Linked DNA regions of Drosophila melanogaster. The protein of the gene in region 1 interacts with the protein of each later gene in a pairwise test. Each region holds a gene or a part of one and is shown on either strand. Other genes may lie near its edges.

Evidence for each region. Proteins that work in one complex are often made in the same cells at the same time.
Region 2: the proteins of Rab7 (region 1) and Plekhm1 interact in a two-hybrid assay, tested with the Drosophila melanogaster proteins (one study listed by BioGRID).
Region 3: the proteins of Rab7 (region 1) and Mon1 interact in a two-hybrid assay, tested with the Drosophila melanogaster proteins (one study listed by BioGRID).

The regions. Positions count from the first base shown.
Region 1 is NT_033777.3:23,989,017-23,997,152, reverse strand, and holds Rab7 (Rab7), read right to left. Parts: upstream 4,146-8,136; 5' UTR 4,013-4,145; intron 3,975-4,012; exon of another isoform or gene 3,877-3,974; intron 3,421-3,876; exon of another isoform or gene 3,334-3,420; intron 3,208-3,333; 5' UTR 3,152-3,207; coding exon 2,972-3,151; intron 2,908-2,971; coding exon 2,551-2,907; intron 2,490-2,550; coding exon 2,403-2,489; 3' UTR 1,701-2,402; downstream 1-1,700. Other genes in the region: LSm3 (uncharacterized protein), read right to left, coding at 211-387, 448-561, 615-635; CG33108 (uncharacterized protein), read right to left, coding at 1-41, 874-1,121, 1,187-1,417; Epp (ecdysteroid phosphate phosphatase), read left to right, coding at 4,357-4,469, 4,615-4,855, 4,911-5,106, 5,278-5,379, 5,898-6,067, 6,126-6,438, 6,501-7,382, 7,443-7,681. UniProt on the Drosophila melanogaster protein: Small GTPase which cycles between active GTP-bound and inactive GDP-bound states. In its active state, binds to a variety of effector proteins playing a key role in the regulation of endo-lysosomal trafficking.
Region 2 is NT_033778.4:22,099,499-22,107,774, reverse strand, and holds Plekhm1 (pleckstrin homology and RUN domain containing M1), read right to left. Parts: upstream 4,599-8,276; 5' UTR 4,524-4,598; coding exon 4,394-4,523; intron 4,334-4,393; coding exon 3,834-4,333; intron 3,699-3,833; coding exon 2,997-3,698; intron 2,944-2,996; coding exon 2,780-2,943; intron 2,724-2,779; coding exon 2,201-2,723; intron 2,130-2,200; coding exon 1,986-2,129; 3' UTR 1,812-1,985; downstream 1-1,811. Other genes in the region: Vrp1 (verprolin 1), read left to right, coding at 570-880.
Region 3 is NT_033779.5:4,846,756-4,854,451, reverse strand, and holds Mon1 (monensin sensitivity 1), read right to left. Parts: upstream 3,812-7,696; 5' UTR 3,702-3,811; coding exon 3,109-3,701; intron 3,045-3,108; coding exon 2,893-3,044; intron 2,839-2,892; coding exon 1,997-2,838; 3' UTR 1,812-1,996; downstream 1-1,811. Other genes in the region: mRpS2 (mitochondrial ribosomal protein S2), read left to right, coding at 4,089-4,113, 4,171-4,940; CG11927 (uncharacterized protein), read right to left, coding at 5,128-6,597. UniProt on the Drosophila melanogaster protein: Part of the Mon1-Ccz1 guanyl-nucleotide exchange factor complex specific for Rab7 that promotes the exchange of GDP to GTP, converting Rab7 from an inactive GDP-bound form into an active GTP-bound form.

The sequences.
Region 1 (8,136 bases):
CATTTTTAACGCATGGCGCATGGTTTACATCGGCATCGTAGCTTTTGAAATTACAATTGATTAAGGACAACCCATAGAAAAGATTTTTATATATTTATATAGTAAGCAAAAATTAAACAAGACATTATTTTTTTTAAAAGACATTTATAAACCTATTTAGATATAGCTTGTATAAATGCAGGTAATTGATTTAAAGCTAAACAAGACCCGCTAGCCCACCCGCATGGGTGGCGAAACCAGGATGACTCCATCGCCTCTAACGAATAGCATGGGAATAGTGCGCTTGGCGGTCTTGTACACCTCCTCATAGGTCTCCTCGTCGATCTCCACAGTGGTCACCGTCTCCTCCGCATCGCCGAGCACCATGTTCAAATGCTGATCAAAGGCCTAGATAAAGGTGTATATTGAAAGATTGCTGGGCAACAGTAAAAAGAGGCATCAACTCACGTGAAGACGTCCTCGCAGTTCCCGCTCGTTGCGCATCTTTACGTACACCTTCTCATCTAAACTCAATCGGATGAGATCCAAAGGCTCCTTTACCGGCAAAATCACCTGACTGAGCTGCAAGTACGGAATATAGAGAATATCCTTTTCGCTTTTATTCTTACACATACCTGCTCTGTTTCGTCGGCCATTTAATAAAAGTATTTGCACTTCTCGTTTACTTACTGACTGAAAATTGTATATTATTTTGCGAAACACAAAACGCTGTTTATAAGTTGCACCACTGAACTACCGCGAGTTTTACAACACTGCCAGACAACAGTGTGCTGTTCACCGTTTACAAGTGCTGTTAGGCGCCAACGGCTTTAAATGCAGGGGAATACCAAACTCAACCCGGGTTTAAATGGCAATATTTTTGAAAAAGGATACGGCACTAGTAGGCAGCCTCCGGCCTTTAAAAGTTCCTTGACTTTTTTGCAGTCCAAAGGACCTACATGCAACTGACACGCAGCAGGTCCTGGCATATGCTTCCGGGTCAGTTCAAACAAATACTGAGCACTAAATAGTTCACCATTAAGGGTATACTCCTGGTCGATTGCATCCTTGAGGAGATCATCTGCCGTGGGACTGCCACCAAGCAACATGCTGAGGGCCACTAAGCCACAAGTAGGTCCCACCTTCGGTGCACATACATATGTTATCGAATAACAAACTGAGAAATCTTTATTGTTTTCTAACTCACCTGCACTATGCTGTTTACGGAGTAGTATTGACAGTGTTTCGGTGGTGTATATTGGCAGACGCGACTTAAATAGCATCCTTTCTGCACCTCAGGATACTCACATGCCCAAGTGCACTCATCGGTGGTTATATTGTCCCCAACTGGACGTTCCTTTGTGGTAGCAGGTGTGCTAGGAGTGACTATCATGGGTGGTGGGGGAGGAGGTGGTGCCACACTTGAAATATTCGACATGGTATTTAGTTAAATAAATAGACTAAGCGAGTTAACAGACAATAGCCACAGCTGTTTTCGCAGACAAATATTAACAGGGCTGAGTTATCGATAAGCGATATTCTGTGTTCACCTGGTTGCATCTGTTCTACAGTGGGCACAAAGTAAATTAAGCCCACATAAAAATATCAAAATAAGCTTATTTGACTTTTATTGTAAATTGTTCAAGTTTATTCTTTAAATTAAACCAAAGAGCATGAGAATTCATAAAATGAATCTTTGGAAAAAAATAAATTCGAAATATACACAATTTACATATATGTATTACCAAAAACAAGGAGCAATTTTACATGGAATACTATTCATAGTTATAGGATATATCGAGTAACGTTATAACTAAACCAAATTCACGCTCGAATGTTATGCATAAAGAAGTTTTGTGGAGCTCAGCCAATTACAATAGAGTAGCCAATTCGATGGTGCAGGAAATTATGTCTGTAAATTACATTTAAAAAGTTATTCTTTTATTAAATTTACAATCACAAGATTTTTTGTTTGTTTAGAAGATACTCTGATGTTGTATTCTCAATGTTGCTGTTCTGTTGCAAAAGCCAGCAGCGGTTGCGTGCAAAATTTGACTAATACAATGGCAAAAATAGTACTAGGGAGATAGGCGGGCGGTCGGTCAGAAACATGAATTATTAAATACGAGTACACAGAGCATACTTATTCATTGAACGGTTACTTAGGTCGTAGGAAAGTGGGTATACTGGTTAAGCCTTTGCCAGAGGCTCGTTAAGACTCAGCTGATGTTGATCTGAATCTGAACTTTGCATCCTATCAGTTAATTAATTACTATGCTGTTTTGCTGAAATTGTTTTACTTAATCATATAACACCTTCCTCTATCGTCCTTTGTGTTGCTTGCTTCTCATGTTCATTATTATGTTGGAAATATTATTTAATAATATAGATTGTGTAATTATCCATTTTGCGTTGTTGTTACATTAGCACTGACAGTTGTCAGGATTGCCAGGACGATTGTTTTGCGAGCCCAAGGTAATCTGATCGGGGAAATCGTTGATAACTTCAGCCTGTGTGAAAGTACAAAGTTCGATTTAGTATGGAAAACAATATTTAAATAGGATTTCTTACCTCCGCCTCCAACTCTAACGCATTCTTGGCTATAACTTGAAACGCCATCTCCACGTTGATGCCCTCCTTGGCGGACGTTTCGTAGTAGGGTATATCGTTCTTAGATTGGCACCATTGCTGCGCTCGACGCGTGGACACCTGGCGGTTGTCCAAATCCACCTTATTGCCCAACACAACGAAGGGGAAGTGATCGGGATCCCGTGGACTGGCCTGTATGAGGAACTCGTCGCGCCAGGAGTCGAGATTCTTGAACGAGTTGGGCGCCGTCACATCGTAGACAAGCACGCAGCAGTCGGCTCCGCGGTAAAACGCCACTCCAAGCGACTGGAAGCGTTCCTGACCAGCAGTGTCCCAGATCTGTTATTGAAATTTTGCGAGTTATGTCACTGAAATAGGATTACTGGAAGTTCATAGTGCTTACCTGCATTGTGACCACTCGGTCGTTGACCACCACCTCTTTCGTGCAGAAATCAGCTCCGATCGTGGCTTTGTATTGGTTGGAGAAGCGTTTGTTTACATACTGATTCATCAGAGAGGTCTTGCCCACACTGCTGTCGCCCAGAATGATGACTTTCAGTAGGGATTTCTTACGTCCGGACATTTCGATGCAGTTTGTGGCGTTGGCTTACTCGGGGTTATTTCTTTTGGTATTTGGTGCTGAAAACCACAGAATATTATTGATTGTGTGTTAAAAATACCATTGCGGTTTCCTCTAATTCGATTAGGAAGTGTAGGGGTGTGATGGTTTCTTTCCTAAGATAAATGAAAGTGAACTGCGCAAACCTCTAGAGTCTAAACTACATGCCAATGAAAGCCGTAATCTCTGCCAGGACCTGACTGCCTAAGTGCTCGAAGTGCAAGCCATTCGCAGCTGTAAAATGTTTGTAATGACGAGCAGTTGTGCTACGCCGTGCTGGGTGATAAACAAATCGGGTGAGTCACTCTGAGCAATCCGCAGTGTGTGATCGCTGGACTGTGTGAACAGGCGGTCAGTAGGGGAGGGAGGTGCCCGCATCGAGGCGATAAAGCGTGATCACTATTGGCGCAGCGGAGAAAGTGCGCTGAGTACAGACAAAGACGAGGTCGAGCTAATAAAGCGGGTCTGGAATACCAGGAAAAGTGCCTGGGAAAACGCCCATTTCCTCAAAGTCCTCGATGGCAGGGGGAGTCACTATGGTGCAATCGAAAATAGTGCGAAAGTGGACTCTCCAAAGGGAGATAAACTCCCCGCCCCCCTTTTTTAGACCATGAACAACTTGTTTTTGTGCTCCACCATTACAACTACGCCACTAATTGCGTCGGTGTGCGTGGGTCTTTGTTGTGTACGTTTTTCGAGTGTGCGTGTGTATGTTTGATGTGGGGCTCCACTGGCATTTTCCATGCACTTTTCGCCTGCTGCGTAACACTCTTTTTAACGCTTTGCTTTTGCTATTCGCCTAATTCCTTTTGTAGTGGCACTCACTTTGAACACTGGTGAACACTCCAAGAGCTGTTTCTTTGTGGGGCGCTTCGGTTTTACTAAAAAATATTCAATTAATTACGCAGTGAATTTTGTTGTTGTCTCGCTAGGAGAATCGCTCTCATCTCTACTGGTCAGTACTGGTTATCGATAGTGCAGTCGTGTTACAGCTATCGGTAGAAGTTGACTATCTTTAGGCTGTCGTTAGCCAACACTTTTTTGTGGCCAATTAACGAATTGTATCCTATTTTTGTTGAAATTATCACTGAAAAATATTGAACAGCCAGGAAAAACCAAAAGCTGCTAAACGGTGGTCACCTGGGCTTACATAGGAGGCTATAATCGAAATGGCCACGCTTCCGCCGCGTAAGAGTCAGACCCCTACGAGGATCTGCATCTCTAAGCAGCATCTGACGCCGCTCCAAACATTGCTCCAAATGGGGTTTCCCAGGCATAGAGCGTGAGTTTTCTATGCATAGCGTATTGGCAGTCACCAGCTGCTCTAGGTTCCATCCAAGATATAGTGGCTATGCGTGCGAGTGACCCACTATGTTGATTTGTTTCATAGAATCAGAGTATTGATTTTTTTGCTTACCCCTACACAGGGAGAAAGCTTTGGCTTCAACTGGTAATCGTGGTGTCCAGATTGCCTCGGATTGGTTGCTGGCACATGTCAACGATGGCACCCTGGACGAGTGCGCCCCCAGGGAATATATTATATATGCTTGTCCCACGGGTCCGTTTCTGCAGCAGCTGGAGGAGTTCTGGGCCAAGTCGCGCCAAATGTGCGGTTGGAATGGAGCACACAACTACGTGCCTCACATAACCCTGGTTTCGTTTTTTAAAGTGAGCTTAAGTTGGATTATCCAGACTTTATTTATTCACCTAATCGAAATTACAGGCCCCCGATGAGTGCTCGCTGCAGCTGTCCAAGGCGCTCAAACAGGTGGTGGACATGACGGGCGCCTTGTTGGATCGCCCCCTTAAACTGGAGCCCTACATGAGTCAAAACTTCATGGGTTTTTTCGTGGCCGAGGAGGATGCCAACTATCTGAAACGACTGGCCCTGCAGTACGTGAAGGAGGTGTCCAACTCAAGTACGAATTATCCTTCTGTTGGTTGCACTCTCTTTGGGTTGTTTTGGTTTACCTTTCTCACGTTCTGTTCGATTCGGTTGATGGTTTTCCATTTTTCGGAGTGGCTTACACGGTTATGTTGTTCTCCTCTCTTCCTGCACACTTCTGGATAATCTGGGATATGCTGCACAGTCATTAGCGATACCTATGAGCAGTTGGACGCCATTGTGGCCTGCTTTCCCTGGTGCGGTGCTGTCTCCTCGGGCACCCGCTGCATTCCGCGCAGCAGTCGATGTAAGCCATTAGCTAGAGCCATTAGTTTGCATAAAATCGTTTTTGATTCACCCAAAAGTACACTTTCTTATCACTCTATGCATGCTTTAGTTGCACTGGTAGATAAGTTACTAATCTAATCGCCCTTTTGGCGAAATTCAACATGACGCTGCTAATTGTAGTTAATTAGTAGTAACTGTAGATAGCAAGGTGATCGATGTTTTTGGTAGCTACATAGTTAATTTGTTTATACCCCGTTTCATTTGTTTGAAAAATATTTCAGTTTATTATTAAAACCGATTAGTGTCACTATATATACAAAAAATCTTTGATTATTAGAAGACCAGAACTGTAGTTGATAAGCCCGTGACGTTTGGTTTTGCCCAAAGATAACTTTAAGTGACTATAATTCCTTATCGAAAAACATCGATTCACCGTGTTAGATACGAAAGCATATAACCAGCACCGCCTTCATTTCCATTCAGTAATCGTTTGTTCCGCCTAGCGAAAGGCTACTAATAGCTTCTAACTACCTGTAGCCATCTCACTCGAGCCACACGTTAAGAGCCTGCACCTGACGCTTGCCTACCAGTTCCCGCAGGCACAGTTTAATGCACTGAAAGCACTCGTGGAGACCTTAGACGCCAGCTGCGCTTCCAATTGGGAACTTCGTCTATATTCCCGCGATCCTCGGCTCGCCACCAAACAAGTTAGAGCTCCTTATAATCGATCGAGGATGAGTTATAATTTTATCTTGTACTTTTCAGGTTCAAAAGGTAGTTTATCCACACAACCCGCACGAGACGGATGAACTGGAGCTCCGAATCGGCGATTACATCTATTTGAATACCGAGGTAGTAGACAGTTCCAGTGACGGTTGGGCCGAAGGCATATCTTGGTTGACCGGAAGCACCGGTCATTTGCCCGTCAATTACACCGAACGCACCGCAGAATCGGACGCCTGGACCCTGCATCGTGTGGTCCAGCTCTCCAAGAGCGTAGCTTCATCATTAACTTCCGCCGAGGACTTGGACATTGTGGACGGACGCAGTATATCAACGGAGCCCGACGATCGTCAGAGTGAGTCGTATTTTGAATACAGTGATCCTGGATTAAGTTAGTTACATTGCCTCTCTCAACAGACACAGCACATCCTGATATAATTGAAGGCTCTTCGTTTGAGGAATCCGAACAGAGCGTGGAGAAGTATTTGAGACAGACTTTGAAGCCCTGCCTGGAACTACCCTCAGTGCAATTGCTAAACAGCCACAACTTGACCCATCAGCATAACCCTAACACGCCTACGATCGAGATAACGACCAATATGTCTTCTTCCTCCACCTCCATGTCCAAGCAACCGGTGGACGAGATCTTGGTGGAACCACCGGCAGCCCAGCCTCCGCGTCCAGATGACACACTTAGTGTACACTCGGACCACTCCTTGCATCCCGGATCCCTTGACGCCTCGCATGCCAAGAACAGAAAGATCTACATTATGCGGCATGGCGAGCGAGTCGACTTTACTTTTGGAACATGGATTCCATATTGCTTCGATGAGTTTGGAAATTACATGAGGAAGGATTTAAACATGCCGAAGACGCTGCCTCGTCGGAAGAACAGTCCGGAGGGCTGGCAGAATGATTCTCCGCTGACAAATGTGGGTGTCTATCAGGCCAATCTTATTGGTCAAGCTTTGCTGGAGGCTCAAGTGCAGATCGACCATGTTTACTGTTCGCCCTCGTATCGCTGCATCCAGACTTGCACCAGTGCGCTTGAGGGGCTGAAGCTTACGGGCAAGCAAAAAATCAAACTGGAGCCGGGCCTGTTTGAGTGGATGGCCTGGTATCCGAGCGGTGTACCCGACTGGCTGACTAAGAACGAGCTGACCGAGGCCAAGTTCGACGTTGATTTGGATTATGAGCCGGTGCAGCCAGCGTCTGAGCTAACTGCTCGCCTAAAGGAGTCCACCGAGCAGTTTTATGAACGTAACCATGACGTTATCCTCCAGCTATTGGAGCAGACAAGTAAATTTATACAAATGTGGTTTTAAAAAATACTCGAATGCCAATTTTCTTTAATTCCAGCTGGAAATATTTTGGTTGTTGCCCATGCCACCACACTGGACACTTGTTCCCGTCAACTGACCGGTGGAGTTCCACGCAGCACGAACGAATTGCGCCAAGTCATCCACAAGATCCCCTACTGCAGCCTGGCAACGGTGGAACAGGTGGACGGCGTCTGGAAGCTGGTTGAACCCGAATGTCTTCCGGTGACGCACTCAAAGAATCCGCGGTTCGAGTGGAACGCCTTGTCGGCCACCTAGTGCCAGTGCTTAGAGCAGTTTCTCTGCAAGCATTGAGACTGAGACTCAACTCGATTGGGACGGACCTGGAGGTGAATCACACGCTGAAGAAACTATACGTAAATTTTTTGTTCGCTTAGCTATTTAAAGTACGTATTGATTTACTGTTTAGAAATTGGCGCCGCATTAAGTTGATTGTACTGCCATACAAATTTTAAAGTAATTTATATGTACACTTATGATGCAAACCGATGGAATGCGATTTTGCTGCGGTGTATAAACAATCCATCTATTATAATTGCACTGCTTATTGAGAAGCCAGCGCGACGGACTCATACTTTATTGCAATCAATGCGATCTATTGACTATATATATTGAATATATACATTTATACCGTATGCCAGTAATTATACTAATTGAGCGCTAGCTCGCCGCTTTAGCCATAGACTAACTTGCCCTGTTACTAGCTTAGTTGT
Region 2 (8,276 bases), on another chromosome or scaffold:
TACTTTTGTACCCGGCTATCATTTTATATATATTGTACCTACCAACGTCTCTATATATATGCATATATATTATACCCGATGAATAATTTTTAGTATGCAACAGGCACATTACGAGTAATTGTTTGTTTTAGTTTCGAAGTTATCTTTTGAAGAAACAATAAACCAAAATTCATTTGGATAAAATACATGAACATATTTCATTTGTTTCATTTTGTGTTTAAGTTTTCTCCAGTTTTTGGGCTGCCTCGGCGGCAGATTTCTTCGCTTGGTCATTGGTTCAAATTCATTTGTCCGTTTCAGAAGATTATTACTTCAAAAATATTCTTCAATCTATATAATTTTGATTTTTATGAAATATTTTTGTAGCTTTATTTCAGAATTTCAAGGCACATTGTGCACATTGTCACTTCTGCCGCATATTGCACTAAAAGTGTTCTTACCATTTGTATTTCGTTTTCGCTTGCATCATAGCAGCTCCTTTTGGCTTAGTTAGTCTTCGCTATTTTATATATCTATCCATGTTTGTACATATATCTTTCTCCCCGCTACTCCGATTCTTCCGCAAACAGCACCCGGAAACAGCAGCGTGAACAACAACAACAACGCGGTGGCAAGCAACAATAATACGACCTCGAATCCTAATCCTGGCGGGTTCGGAGGAGGATTAGCTCCAGTGCTAAAGCCGGCGCACGCTCCACTGAAAAAGCATCGGGCACCGGCTCCACCTCCTCAAGCTGGCGTGGCAGCCGCCACGGTATCAGTCATCCGGCAATCAAGTTTCCTTTACGGCGGAGCGGCAGGTGGTTCCAGTGGCTCCACCAGCATACGGCCACAGTCCCAGCCACCTGGAATCGGTCCGCGGAACTCCACCGTCTACTGAACTTAGGGCTTGATCTGTATATACATAAGTGTGTGCATGTGGAGTGTGTGTTTGTGGCTCGTTGTTGATGTATGTTGTAAGCGGGAGTGTTTTGTGCCACAGGCAAAAGTTCAAAAGTCAATGAAAAGTGCAATAAACCAAATACCATGGCACACTGAAAAGACCCAATAGAGAACCTGAAGAAAGGGCAGGCCCATGCTAAAAAATCACCGATAATTCGTTCGCGTCTTCCCAGGCTGCACTTAATAAATGGCTAAAGCAGAGAACAAAATAAGCCGCACATAAAATTTGTATATAGAATTAGCACCAAGTTAGTGAAATTAATTACCCAGCTCCATCTATACCTTTTATAGGCGGGTGTAAATGATTGTATGTACATTTAGGAGCGCGCCTCTTTGCATAAATATCTTACTAGACTGAACATGTTAAAACCCAACAGCAACAAATAATTAATGTAATTATATACATACGATATTTAGAATCGACTATTGTACGACTTAATCCCCTAGAGCAATACACACACACAAACAAGAGAAATATGTTAACAATGAAATACTGAAGCACAACCGAGGGCATTTCAACGAAACTCGCCACATTCCATTTCAAAATTCTTTAGTTCAATGTGCAATACGAGAGTTGGTGTGATAATCTCGAAAGTATTTAGGTATTATCTATCATCTGTGGTTTTCGGTAAACGTTTGTTAAACTCCTTATTGGGCGATAATTATTGGAAGTGAACATAATGCATATTTATATTATTATCCTTATTATTAACTCAATCATTGTTGTTGGACTTGGTGTCATTAGAAGTATTATTCAGCAATTGCATAACATTTTATTCCGAATCAAAATCATTGCAGTTATAAATAAAATTACGAAGTCATTCAAAAACTGAGCAACTGAGTGGTTTCATTGAGTCAACAAAATTGGTAACCATTTTTGCAAAGCCATGTTATGTATGCTATATATTTGAGTAAGTGTAAATGCTTTTAAGCCATAACAATTTTTATCTTAACCCTAGCTTAAATGTAAAGTAAAGCCTTTTCTTGGTTACGTGTAATAACAAATCGCACTTGTTCAACCTAAAATCTAAATATGGCCGATTTTAGGCAACCTCATTCTTCTGTTTAAGACATTGCACCGCCTCCTGGAGGCCCTGATCCTCGCGCTTACGTATTCGTTCACATTTGGGACATGGCTGCTTCTCATTCAAACACTCAGCGTGGAACACAGCTCCACAGGCCAGACACTGTAAAAAGATGTGTGAGCGCCAGTATGAAAATATCTGTCATCTTGCAATTTCTTGATAGTTCGACTCACTCTGAATGTGGTGCTGATGTGAAAGGGATACAGCACCCTTGGACTCTGGCATATCTCGCAGATGAATCCTTTTAGGTGGCACAGTCTGCACTTCAAGACATGCGCTTCCCCCAATTTGAAGGCTTTCTGCAGCTGCTGACACAGCACACCTCGCTGAATAAGAGCCAAATCTGCTATGGAGTACAGATGAATGTGCTCGTAAAGGTACTCCCTGCCAGCAAACTGATTCTGGAGAAGCTCTATGCTGCTCGGAGCACAGGTATACAAATAGGCCCTAATGAAGTTTAGTCGGATCCGCAGGGATTGCAATTCAGCCATGGCATCGGAAGCAAAATATATTCTCGGGTTAAGCAACTGCATGTCCAGGAATGGATGCGATCGGAATTCGGCAAGGAAAGTTGCTGCCCGCTTGCTGACGCTGTACTTTCGGAAATCCCAATTGTAAATGATGCGAGCGGGTATCAATTGCATCTCAACATCCATGCAGCTATTGCAGTAGTAGCTGCCACTAAAGGCGCAAACTCTAAGGGTAGATACAAATGTAAGTGGGATTAATAATGGACAAACGGATGATCTCACTGAAAGTTGGAGTAGCCAATGCCCAGCGGATGCTGACAGCTCTTGCACAGGAATCCCTGGGCATCCAGACCCGGCTCTCGAGCTAGTTGACACAGCTGGGCCACCATTTGCTGCAGCTCCACCATGTCAAACTCTGAGGTAAGCAGCTCAAACTCCGAGTTGGTCTATAATAAGATAGCATTTAATTTATAATAATCTTAGTTCTCAACCAACTTACGTCCAGTGACTGCAGATCACTCAAGTCTTCTGAAATGGGCGGATCGGTATCTCGCTGAGGCTGAGCCACATTGAGGTTGGAGGCACTGGCCCGAAACTTCTCCCAGATCTCCGACCATCCGGCTCCACTTTCCCGGTTGCTTTCGTGTTTCCGCAACAGAGCATTGTAGCTGCATCTGTCCGTAGTTGGAGAACGCAGACTGACTGAACTACTGACGCTCACAGATCGCTGGAAAAACCTAGATCCTGTCAGTTCCTCTGTGGGTGATGTAGGCGTTGCTTCCAAGTCACCAGACCATGAGGTTTGCATTAGATTGGACAAAGAATTACTGCCCTGGGGCAGAAGAGAAGGTGCTTCAAGATCCAGATCGGCGAAGGAGCTGCTGTCCATTTGACGATTGGATTTTTTCCTCGACCTCGTCTTACTGCCAGATGGAGCTTCCTGCTCTGCTGTTTCATTCGTTTCCGCTTTATCGCCACCTGTTTGCTCCTCGTTAATCACATCCATTTCATCAAACTTTTGTATCAGCAGGTCCAGGTTCTCTCGCTGGCTGAGTTCGGGAACACCAAAGTTGCTATTCCTTCCAAAGGGGCTATTCGAAATGGACTCCGAGAACAGTTCATTGGTCTGCAGGGGCTGTGGCGTCGGTATGGCAATGATATCGGATCCAAGCGAGCTGGCCACATCAACTCCGCTGCTAATCTGCAATGGTATACACAAATTAGTCCACTTGTAGCGATAAAGACCAGGAAAGGCCCTCTTATCATAGGAATTTTGGATTGTTGAACTATACGATAAGTCTAAGCCGAACATTCTTGGCAGGATAAAAGATCATACCGGGCAGGACTTGAGAGCAGGTGTCCAGAGATCAGATAGCTGCAGGGAGTAGTCGGGCCAGTGGTTCAACAGGCTGGAGTTCACTGGCAGATCGAATTGCACATAGGCCTCCAAGCTCTCCATAATCTTGGCGGCCGTCTCCAGACCCTCGGAGTCCCGCATAAGGGCGTTTCGCTTGTAGTACTGCGACAGGGCCGATCCGTTCTTGCGCATGTTGTTCAGATAGGAGGAGAACACAGACTCGTTAAGCGACTGGCGCACCCAGGCGCGGCACTGCCCCGTCTCTGAGGTGATCTGGCTGAGACCCTGCACCTGCTCGATCACCTGCTTGTGCATAAAGACCATGCAGGGCGCCCAGAAGCTGGGCTCGGGCCTGCGTTCCACATCGCCAGCGATGACATTGAAGGTGGCGGACAGGAAGGAGTCCTTCAGCCCGTGCAGGAACAGGGCCTCCAGGGTGGTGCACAGGGCACTGGTCTGCTCACATACTCCCAGGACCTCTGCAATACGTGAATGTATATAAATGGATGGCCATTTCCGGGGGAGTACCCAGAACTCACCCAAACTCTTCTGTTTCACCTCGAACTCTATCTCACGCGCATTTTCGTTCAGTGTATTTATGAGCGCCTCCTTCACGACATTCTCCCGTTTCGAAGAAAAATGGTTCAGGCTGCGGAACAGGGAGCTCATTTGGATGTCGATCCGCACCTTTTGTTGTGGTTTTCCGAGGGTCTAAAGAAATTAACATTGAAGAAATCATCCCCAAAGTGTGACCGTATGCCAGCCCCAAAACAACAAAGAAAAATATACTAGTAATAATTTAGTGCAGTTAGGAAAATGCGATTGTAAATGTTTGCATAGAACATGTTTCACAAAACGTATATAGTTTTATTCTAGTTTAATGTTATAAATTTAAAGTAGTAAAATTAAATTGTATGTAATAATTTAAAGAAGCCCGCGTTCTTCACAAGTTATCGATAGACAATACTTTTTGAAAACCTCAAGCTGCATGGTCACCCTGGAGCGTACACTGGTCAAGTCTGACGTCATTTTGAAACGGTTCTTAACCGATTTCATTTAAATTCAAAATAAATTAAATTTTTAAGTCCGCCAGCCAAACAAACCGTGTCCATTAAAATCTGCAAAAGTGCGCGCCAAGGCAAGCAAAAAGGTCAGATCTTTGAAACTTCAGCGCATTAAGCCACTGAAACCCGTTCTGGTTATTCTTGACTTTCTTCTCAGATCAAATCGCAAATCTCGGCTTATGTGTGAATGCTCGATTATGAGGAAAAAAAAACCCCACGCAGGCTAGCAAAAAGTCACAGCGAAACCGTCAACGAGACAGAATATTAATTGATCTCGCTTGGATCTTTCCTATCCCCAGCTTGTCACTGTCTTGTTATTGTGTTTTGGGTATTTTCGGGTTTTGTTTCAATGAACCGCCATATATTCTGCGGCCAAATGACTCATGCAGATCTTTCGGCCGCCAAGGAATTTTATTAATGAAAGACCATCCCGACTTGTTGAAGGAACCAGAAAAAAAACCCATGCACGTAGTCAGTTGATATAATACTAAAATCAAAATTTGTGTTAAGGTCACGGTGACCAACAAAGGCGACTTTATGTATATGCTTGTTGTTGTCAACGCATTTTTCAATATTTTTGCAATAAAAACGTTGTTGTTTTTACAGAAGATGCGCCGCTCTTGTAGTTGTGAACCAACTGGTTCAGCATTCAAAATGCAAACTGGTCTCAGCCGCCAATTTGTTTGACTTTTCGACTTTTTTCGGCTTGTTGTGTTGTTTTTCGAAAAACACATTTTCCATGTGGGCTGTGTGCATTCAGCAAATTGCATTTTATTCAATTTTATCGATACGAAACGGGTTACCAAATCATTAATAACATAAACAATTTGGCAAATCAGCAATTGCGAGAGTTGTTTCGTTTATTGGCGGCATTCTTTTGGAATGATGTGTTGATGTGTTGTTTTACTCAATACTCACCATGAATTTTAAAATAGAATTTCAAACCTGAAAAACAATGAGTGTATCGGGTGAAATTAGAATTTATTGTTAATAAAACTTGTTAAAAATAATCAGATTTTAATTTATGAATACAAAATGTTATCTTGAGATCTCTTCATGAAAGTTGGAAAGTTGAAAAGCAACCATAACAGAGCACTTAAGTTTGAAATTTACATGCCTATATACTCGGGCTTCCCCAATCCAAATTATATATATATATACAAGTCGGATTTCGCATGGTGAAAAACCGTTGGACTTTGTTGTGCGACATTAATGACGATAAACAATTAATACGGCGCTTTGGGTGAAGGGTCGCGGCGACATTTCCCAACTGAGCCGACTCTATTAAAGTAAATAATATGTGGCGCTTTGTTGCCGCTCTTAGCTGACTGTGCAGTTTCCGAGATGCCAGCGTGTTGCCATTGTTGTGGCCAAAAGCCGAAAAGCCAAAAGAAACCAAGCCAAACGAAACGAAACGAGACGAAGCGGCCTGAAATGTATAAAAACGTTTGTTTTCGTAATACAATTTTGATTACTTCTTCGACGCCAGCCGCCCATTGATGGGCATTGTCTCAGCTGGGCCCCTTTGTGCGTCCCTTAGCGATTTGATTTATGGGCGGAGGAGCTGGGCGCCCAATACTCCACTCCAACAGCGCTACCGTTGGCCATTTGCCGGGATCGCGGTCCATTTGGCAATAGCTTTGTTGTAATTGTTACAATAATAACAGCCGTGATTCCCGACACCACTGCCCCCCATCAACTGGGCAATCACTGACATCGCAGTGGCATGGTTTTCGGGGCTATTCCAAATAGATATCATTCAAAGATATATTTCTCAGGAATAAGCTTTTTTAGAGATTATAGAATTTAATATTATATATACTGCTACAATTTATGTGAACCCCTTTCCTCAAACTACGCCCATTTGCACCAACTGATGGGGCGAGGAAACTCTTTTTGAAGCTCTTTTGATCGTCGAAAGCCAAATGCCGGTACAAATGCTCAAATGCGGAACCAATAAGCTGACATAATTTTTTGTGATGGGCGCTGAAAAAAAAAGAAGATTTGCTCGGGCCAAATGATAATTACATTCCAGAGACATCTGAAGATATGGTCACGGTTGGCTTTCGAATGCGATCATTACCGCACTTAAGTTTGAAGACCATAGAAGATGGTTATTCAAGGACGTAACAGAAACATATCGTTGATACTAAAGTACGAGACTATTGAACTACCTTCTATATGCAAAATATGAAAAGAATTTCATATGGGGGGCGATCATAAAGGTGATGACTTATGAGCACGAGGTGCGATGATCTAATCACCGGTCGCGTCAATAGCCGGGCGGGCCGAAATGCCAAAAGTTCATCGATCACTGACACCGCCGACCAACTCAACGCATCTTTACTGAACGCTGATCTGCCAAAAGTCTGATCGATCGATCGATTGGTTCTCTGACTCAGACCAGTCAAGAACCCAATGCACTGAGCCAGACTGAAACAGGCAAGTTTGAAATGTGTTTATGTCAACGCCGCGATTGTCAAATATTGTATTAATGAATTGAGATGGAGTCGAGAACAACAAGAACTCGCTGTGGGAACAGGATCTGGCGAATCTGTGGCACATGGAAGGCATAACTTATGCATTGTTAGCATAATAATTTTCCAAAAATCAAGCCAAACCTGTCAAAATAAACAAACCGAACGGAGCACATTCGTTTTCAATAACCATTTGCATTTCGTGTGTGTTTAATTTATGCGAAAGTTGTGTCTATTTGGGAGGCGATTTAGCTATTGTCTTGTAAATCATTTAGCGAATAGCACTAATGTTAGGCGACTGTTAGCTGGATGTTAATATTAACACCTTATCGAAATGCGGGATCAACTTCTATTTTGGTATGCTTGCTTCGTTGATATTAATATATAATACATATTACATATATTATCTTGTTCGTCATATCTACTAATCTCATAAAGATATTCGTGCTATAGACGCATTTTTAAGATAACACAAAAGTTGGCTTACAGGGGTTAATATCTGAATCCGATCATGTTGCTCGGCTGACCTTGAACGTCATTGGCAGTGCGTCAAAGTGTGGCGAGAGACCAGTATGCAAAAAAAAACTGATCACCTGGGGTAATTAAAATAATTATTTTGCACTCTTTTCCGGTTGATAGTAGTACACACACACATGGCGATCAGAAGGGTTGGAAAATTCGGGGGGAAGCTGAAAAAGGCTCTTGAATAGATAACGCTTTCGCGCGTTCGAAATTCCCATTTTTCCCAACTTACTTACTTGACACTCTGCCGCCGTCGCAGTCGGCGTCGCTGGCGACGTCGCGGCTTTAGCCAAGTCGAGCTTGGAGCAGCGGCTCTTGGCCAAGTTTATTGAAAGCGCAGAATCCGTGAGCTACGGACG
Region 3 (7,696 bases), on another chromosome or scaffold:
TCGCTTCGGGGTTTCATCTGAATGGCGAGTGGTTGGCGAATTGAATCCGGAAAACTTTGTTTTAAATATATTAAAGTAAGACAATTATCTTACACAATATTCATTCTTAAGAAAAATCATAAATAACTTGATAGCCTGATGCTGGCATAAATAATAAATTAACCTGCACGTTCGAGCGCTTAAATTATGAAATCAATATCTAGATACTTTTACTGCCCCGCTGCCGATGAAAGTATACAATCAAAAGTTTAAGGATTGCAATTTATCTGAGAGTTTGCGAAAACTTTTTGCAACAACAATTTGAATTGGCAGAAGAAAAATACAAGAGTTGCTCAAGATTGTGCGGAACTAGAAGAAAAATAAGCAAATACTTATTGTATTTAAAAAGTTTTTGTATAATAATCATAGAGTACTTTGATAATACGAAATTCTTTAAGAAAATCTTCATAGTTTCTAATTTGGCTAAAATTTTTAAAACATTTTGCAATAAAGCCGTGAAATATTTTTGAAATATTTTCTCAAGTTCCGCAATCAACTTTTTATGCTGCCAATTATGAAATTTGGCCACATTTGCTGTGCTCTGCCAGGAAAGTTGATTAAAGCCAAGGAGTTTGGAGGCCGAGAGAAGAGCCATGAAAAGTCCAAGGCGCTAAAACTTTTTCCGACTTAAATAGAATCCTTCGCTCCACTCGCATGCACCTACTCCTGCCACTCTACTTTTTCATTTAGTCCTTCTTTCTGCCACACGCGCTGCTTTCAAAATAACTCTGGGATACACAAAAAGACATCCTGTGGCCTCCAATGTGTCCCTGTGTGTGTGTGTGTGTGTCTGTGTGTGTCTGTATGGGTATGGGTGTATGGGTGTTTGTGTGGGGAAAGGTGAAACTTTGGAACTCCTTGTTGTTGCTGCTGCTCCTGGCGCCGCCGATTGTTAATTCAGGACTACGAATTTGGCTCGAAAGACGAACGGCAAATTAACGAGGATTCGAAAACGAAAGAAATACGAAACGGGGAATGCACGAGAAATGCGTATAAAAATATTCATTTTGCTCATAAATTAAACGATTTGCACGATGAAAGCGGGTAGACCAACACGCGCGCAAAACTAACGGAGCGGCGTCTCACACACACAAACACACACAGACACACACATACACACACACACACATGCACTCTGGCATATATCCTGGCAGGATTTCGTCCTGGCCCATGTTTGTATGTGTATTAATGCCGCCGCAGAGCTAAGCGCGCAAAAACCGACAGATACACGAGCATTTAACACCCAAAAAATGCGTGGCGCATGTTGAAAAGCTGCTCCGTTTCGAGCAACTTAAATAGGTGGAAACAAAAAACGCCGCGTTTGCATCGTAATTTTCCATTTTATGCTGGGCATTTTCTATCTAGCACCACGCAATTTTCCACATTTTTCACATACTCATCGGTTTTAGCAATTATTTTGTAATTCTTTTCGGTCAGGCACTGGTTCAACTTTGGATTTCCGGTGGCAGCGCCCACAATCGAAGCGTGTGCGTTCGCGTTTGTGTCCTGTACTCAATTGTGTTCTCCGAGCGGTCGGCCAGCACCAGTCACATCGTAATCCTTGCGATTGGGTCGCCGATGCGAGTGCGCGCGTTAAGTTGTTGATTCCGCAAAAGCTCTCTCTGCGATTCCTTTCGCTCTCGAAAGTCCATCCCCGAAGATAACCGGTTTGGTTTGAGTCCGAACTTAAAGGATATGCTGCGCTAGCGGTGACTCGAACCTTTCGACAGAACTCAGTTTTCTATAGATCCACTAAGAGATAAACTATCTATAAAGTTTTAGAATTTACTTAAAGTTTTAAATTACAAATGTACATGCGTGATTCTGGTATACTAGGTTCAGTTAAACAAACGCCGTCACAACTGCAGCACAACAACTTTGTCCTGGTTCGATTGGCAGAGGAGCAATAAAAAAATAGTCATATATCTCACAATGCCCTAGCGAAGCGCGCTAAAGCTTAGAATGTGGCATGGTTTCGTATAAAGTACACGTCGTACTCCTTCTCGATCCACTTGATCAGCTTGTCCACGTACTTGATCACAGTGGCTTTGTCCACAACCGGCTCGAATATGGCGTACAGTTCGTAGGTTCCGGTTGCCCAGGCCAGGACCACCTCGCGCTCCTTCATCTCGTAGATAAGCTTCAGCGGGCGACTACTGTTGTGGATGCGATGCAGCAAGTCGCAGTAGATGGCCTCCAGGCGCTCCAGCTCCGTCAGAGATTTGTACGGATGCCTGAGCATGGGACACAGCAGTTGAGCTGTGCTCTTGGGCTTGTAAAGAAAGTGCCGCAGCTCGGGGATTCCCACAACCTGTTGGTAGAGTTTCGCATTGAACGGCTGCTGCAGCTCCTCGTTGATGGCTTCCAAGCAGTGGCTTTTGCGTAGCTTCTCCGTGATCTTTGCCTTGGCCTCTGCCAGCGTGAAAAAGGCATCTCTGTCCACGGACAGCAGGAGCAAACAGGCCTGGCAATCATCCGCCAGGTACGAGACATGCGCATGCAGATACCCATTCATGTCGAACTTGGGCAGGCAAATTGGTGACCAGTTCTCGGAGCTCTTGAAGGACTCGGAGCACTCTACCAGGTTGAAGATCAGACGCAAATCAGCCGGATGGATGGAGTACTTCTTCATGCGCACCAATGCTATCAGTTTGTTATTGGCAATTAGCACGGCAAACACCAGGTTCTTGATCTTGGAGCAGTTGCTCTGAATGGCGCTGGTGATTTGCGATCGTATCGTTGTGGGCAATGGGAAGACGCGAATTGAGTTGGTCAAAAATGTGAAGATGTTGTTGGACACTAAAAGAAGTCGTTGAGAAATTAAGCAATTTGGATATGCTTAGATATCCTTACCCTTGGCACTACTACTGTCGTTCGCCAACAGATTGTAGAACAATCGTTCGCTGCCGGAGAGCAGTCTCCTCAGATCAAAGTTCTTGCGCCTCTCAAAGATTTTCGTCATGTGTGAATACGTCAGAATGGACAATATTTGATTGTAGACATCCCTGGTAAAGAATGGGAAGTTCCCATTAGTTAGCATTGCTATCAGGTGCGTTATAATTGACTCACCCCAGTTGAAGCTGCAGCTGCTGCACACTCATGTTGCTCCTGCTGGCAGCCACCAGGATGAGCGAGCTGCGTTGCATGAAAGCGAACTTAATGCCGCCCGCATGAATGGAGGTAATAGCATCCTGGCCCATTTGGACGAAGCTTACCAGTGCCTGAATGACACCGAAAAGCGTGGCCAGTTTATCCTCATTGCCGTGTAGCGAGAAGATTGGCTTTCCCGCCTCGCTTAGTATGAAGATGTGTTTCTTTTGGCCCTGCCACAGACTGTCGTGCTGGTAATCGTATTCCTCCTCCAGTCCCCCGCCAATGGAGTCCTCTGTTTTGGCGCTGGTCGAGGTGCTCAATGCCAGAGACTCCACAGAGGCAGCCAGTCCCTTGTTCTCCTGCCCCGGCTCCGGACTGAGGGCACTGTTATCTCGCATGGTGCCCAGGCCATCTCTTAGCTCAGAGATAATACTATGGTTTTGTTGCTCGGCCTCCTGGTCGGGATCCGCCTCTTGATAGAGATTTGGGGACTCCGGATCGCCCTCTGCGTCTAGATACTCGCAGGTGGAGTTCGTGTCCGACCTGACTGACGTCTGCTCTACTTCCATTTCGAATTCGTTTAACTATTTCAGTCGCTGGAACATTGCAGTTTGCCAATATTTAGCAATATCATAAATTTACAACTAAATCATTACAGCTGGAATGGATTTCCCAACACTGTCCGAAGCAGAAGGTGAAATAAAGGGTGTTCCGGAAAACACACCATAAGATAGGCTTATTCATTCTTAAATGTTATGAAAAATAAGTTAATTTGATATATGGATTTTGAATTACTTTATCTTAATAATTATAATTAAATTTTTATATCTGTTATTTTGTTTTTGTTTTAAGACCTCTTATAGAAACACTTCTATCCAACACTACCCACCAGCTGTTTACCAAAATCGACGGAAAAGAAGAAGAACATAGGTTATGAAAACACGAGCCGCTCCAAAATGTTGAGAAAATCGTTTGCCAACCGTAAGTAATCAATTAAAACATCAAGGAAACCAAATTATACATGCTTTCCCTTGGTAGTACCCCGCTTTGGTCAGATGTGCGGTCTGCCACGACGCCTGCAGAGCACACAGCCGGAGCAATCGGTGGAAACGGAACCGGAGGACATCGCCCTGGTGGAACAGCGGATTCTGAAGCATCCGGACTACTTCCAAGTGCACAACCTGTTCACCGTGCGCGACCTCTTCAATGCCCGAGTGCACTATGGCCACAAGGAGGGCTCCCTGGACGACCGAATGCGTCCGTACTTGTTCGGCAGTCGATTAGGTCATCTGATCTTCGATCTGGACAAGACGGCATCACATCTGCGCGATGCCCTCAACTTTGCCGCACACATTGCCTTCCGAGATGGCATCATTCTGTTCTTCAACCGCAACGCCATGAACTCACATCTCGTGGAGCGAAAGGCCCAGGAGGCCGGTGAATTCTCGCACACTCGCTTTTGGCGCGGCGGCATCTTTACCAATGCCAATGTGCAATTCGATGCGGTCACCAGGCTGCCCGATCTTTGCATTTTCCTCAACACTCAAAACAACGTTATGGCTCAGCACACGGCGGTTCGGGACGCCGCCAAAATGGCCATACCAACGATTGGCATAGTGGACAGCAATTGCAATCCCAACCTGATCACCTATCCGGTGCCCGGCAACGATGACTCGCCGGCCGCAGTGGAGCTCTATTGCAACCTCTTCAAGGAAGCCATACTGCGTGGCAAGCGGGAACGACGCCAACTCCTTGGCCTTCCGCCTCTGGACGAATCCCAGCCGCGGCGCAGTCGCAAAACTAAGTAATAGCCAAGTAGTAGTGTCAAGTTGATTTTGTTACATTTATCTTAATACAAATGCCAATGGCCGTCAATCCACGATGAAGAAGAAATTGCTAAATATGGTTGCAAAATTGCAGAACTTTGTGCATGTGCCATGCTATTTGATAGTGTTTAAGAAAACCCACGACCTGGGTTAGTTTCGGATAGCTATTCTAGGGCGGCAGCAGAGTGGCACCCTTGACAAAGTTGTTGCTGTAGTGGCTGAAATACGAGGGATTGGAGTTGGACCCCGTGTTGTTGGAACTTCCAGAGGGCCAGTAGTTGGTAATCTGTGGTGGGGTGTCAGGTGGCGGCGGAGGCGGCGCTGAGGTACCAATGATGGAGAGATCCGTACCGCCTTTGATGGCACGGCCGGGACCGAAGAACGTATCCATTTGCTGCTTCTTGAAATCATGCATCGACGCAAAACCATTCGGCGGCCTCTCCTTGGACATGTCCCACGAGCCGATGCTGGATGACTTGCGCACGAACACTTGGCCCTTTTCATTCTTGTCCTGCTCCACCCAGCGCTCTGCATGCTTCACCGTCAGCATCGCCTTGTGCGCAACTATATACTCCTCGGCCTTCTGTAGTCGTTCCAGTTGCTGCTCGTCCAGCTGGTCGCGCGGCAGCTTCCCCAAACGCTGCACCGTTCGCTTCCAGTTGTGGAACTCACGGTTTTTAAAGGGCTTCATGGCCATACGGTACTCCTTCCACTGGCGCTGGCGCTCCTCCTTCGTACCAGGCGGTGCATCCTCGAGCGGCGGTGGTGCCTCTGGCTTCTGTATCCATTGGCCATTGACCTGGACAAATGTGCCGCAGCGCTTGGGCTTCTTGGAGGGCTGCGCTTCCCCGTTTGACGGCGAATTGTTGCCATTGCTTGGCGGTGGGGGCGGAGGCATAAGCCTCGTATCTTTGTCACTGTTGCCGCGATGGTTTACCTTGAATTTCTTGTTATTCTGGTTTGGATTGCTGCGATTGTTTTGTGCTCCCTGCTCCTTGGGTACCAGATTCCACAAGCTGGGGCACTTGGGCATGGGCGGTTGGATTGGTGGTGGTCTATGTTGTGGCGACATCATGTCCTCCCAGAACGGAGGCGGCTGCAGAGGTCGGTGATTGTGATTCCGGCGGGGCCCAGAACCACGTGGTCCTCCAAAGCCCACTGGACCACCGGGGCCCATACTGCTCATGGGACCACAGGGACCCATATTGCTTATGGGACCGCGAGGTCCTCCTGGTCCCATTGGCCCCATGGGGGGACCGCATTGTCCGGGTCCAGGCCCAAAATTGCCTCCAAAGCCCATGTTCATCAGCTGCATAGGAAGTGGAGGCGGTCGATTCATCGGAGGATAGTTCCTGTCCTGGTAGCTTTGCGGACCTCCGCCTCCATGAAAGGCATTGTTGCTATTCGAAGACCAATGTTTACGTCCGTTGCCGTTGTTGTTATTGTTGTTGTTGTTACTATTGTTATTGTTGCTCCGTTGTAGTCCGCTTTTGGTATCCGGTTTCAGTGCATCCTTGCATTTCTTCCAATCTGCAAACGACATTTTCAGCGGCTTAGTTTCAGGCTCATCTTTGCCGGACTCCGGAACGACTTCCTTGGAATCCTCTGGTGCCGCCTCCACGTCCCCGTTTTCAGACATCTCGCACCTTAGAGAGTGGGAATACACTTTATAAATATATCAACTTAATTTTATTTGAGTTTTGCTTAGCGATGGCAAACAAAAATTTCAATAACAACAAATTGAAGGAACAGCCGATGTTTTCTATCGATATTTTCGTGCTTAAAATTTTAGGGAGTTTCCCCTGAAGTATTTTCTTAAGAGTCCTGTTGTTCTTAAAAAAGAACAGTAGTTTCCAAATGTATTCTCTAAACTTTCCGCTATACCAGTAAATCTTCATTTGTTAACTAGTAAGCGATATATTAATGCCCAACGTAATATAATATATATTTAACATTTTCGATCCCATGCAGACACAACCGGCGGGGAATAGTAATTGCCCAGCGTCCAGATACCATAGTGAATTGTTGGTTATCAGCGATAAGTGTCTGATTTCGTAACATTTATTTCATATTTAAATTTAAATTTTAATACGAACACATCTGTGATGCGAAATTGATGTGAGCTTTTTGACTGCGCTTTACGTGAACTGGTCTGGATAGCTGTGGCGCATCTCTAAAATCTAACGTGTTCGATCAGGTGGCAACACCCACCGTAAAAAACGATTTTAGTCGCAGTCGCAGAGATTTTGGTTTTGGTAAGCTCTAGTAATTTATTGGAAATTACGATCCAAAATACACCGTTTTAAGAGACGTTTCAATCGGCCATTAAAGTAAATAATAAGCGCGACGAAGACTAAACATCAAAAGTGTTGAAACTAGAACGAGAGTGCAAAGTCGGTCGCCAGCAAAACGCGTAGTTTGCTTATTTTAACGAAAAGCGGCCAGTGCCATTAAAATATTACTCAATTTCACAGAGAATTTTGGCCGAAAACGGATGCAATATATGGATATATAGACCCTGTTTCCTGAAAGTTAACTTCCTTTTTGTTCTACGCCCAACACGGTCGTCAACTGCGCTGCCATCGTCGACGTCGGCAGAGGCCATTCTTGTTGTTGCTATTCTCGACATATGATTCAATAGAGCGATCGCCTCTCTCTTTCTCCCTCCCACGGACAATTTCAGTTTTTTGTAATATTTCTGTTAGCTGTGTTTTAGTTGCCCATGTTTGTTTGTTCTT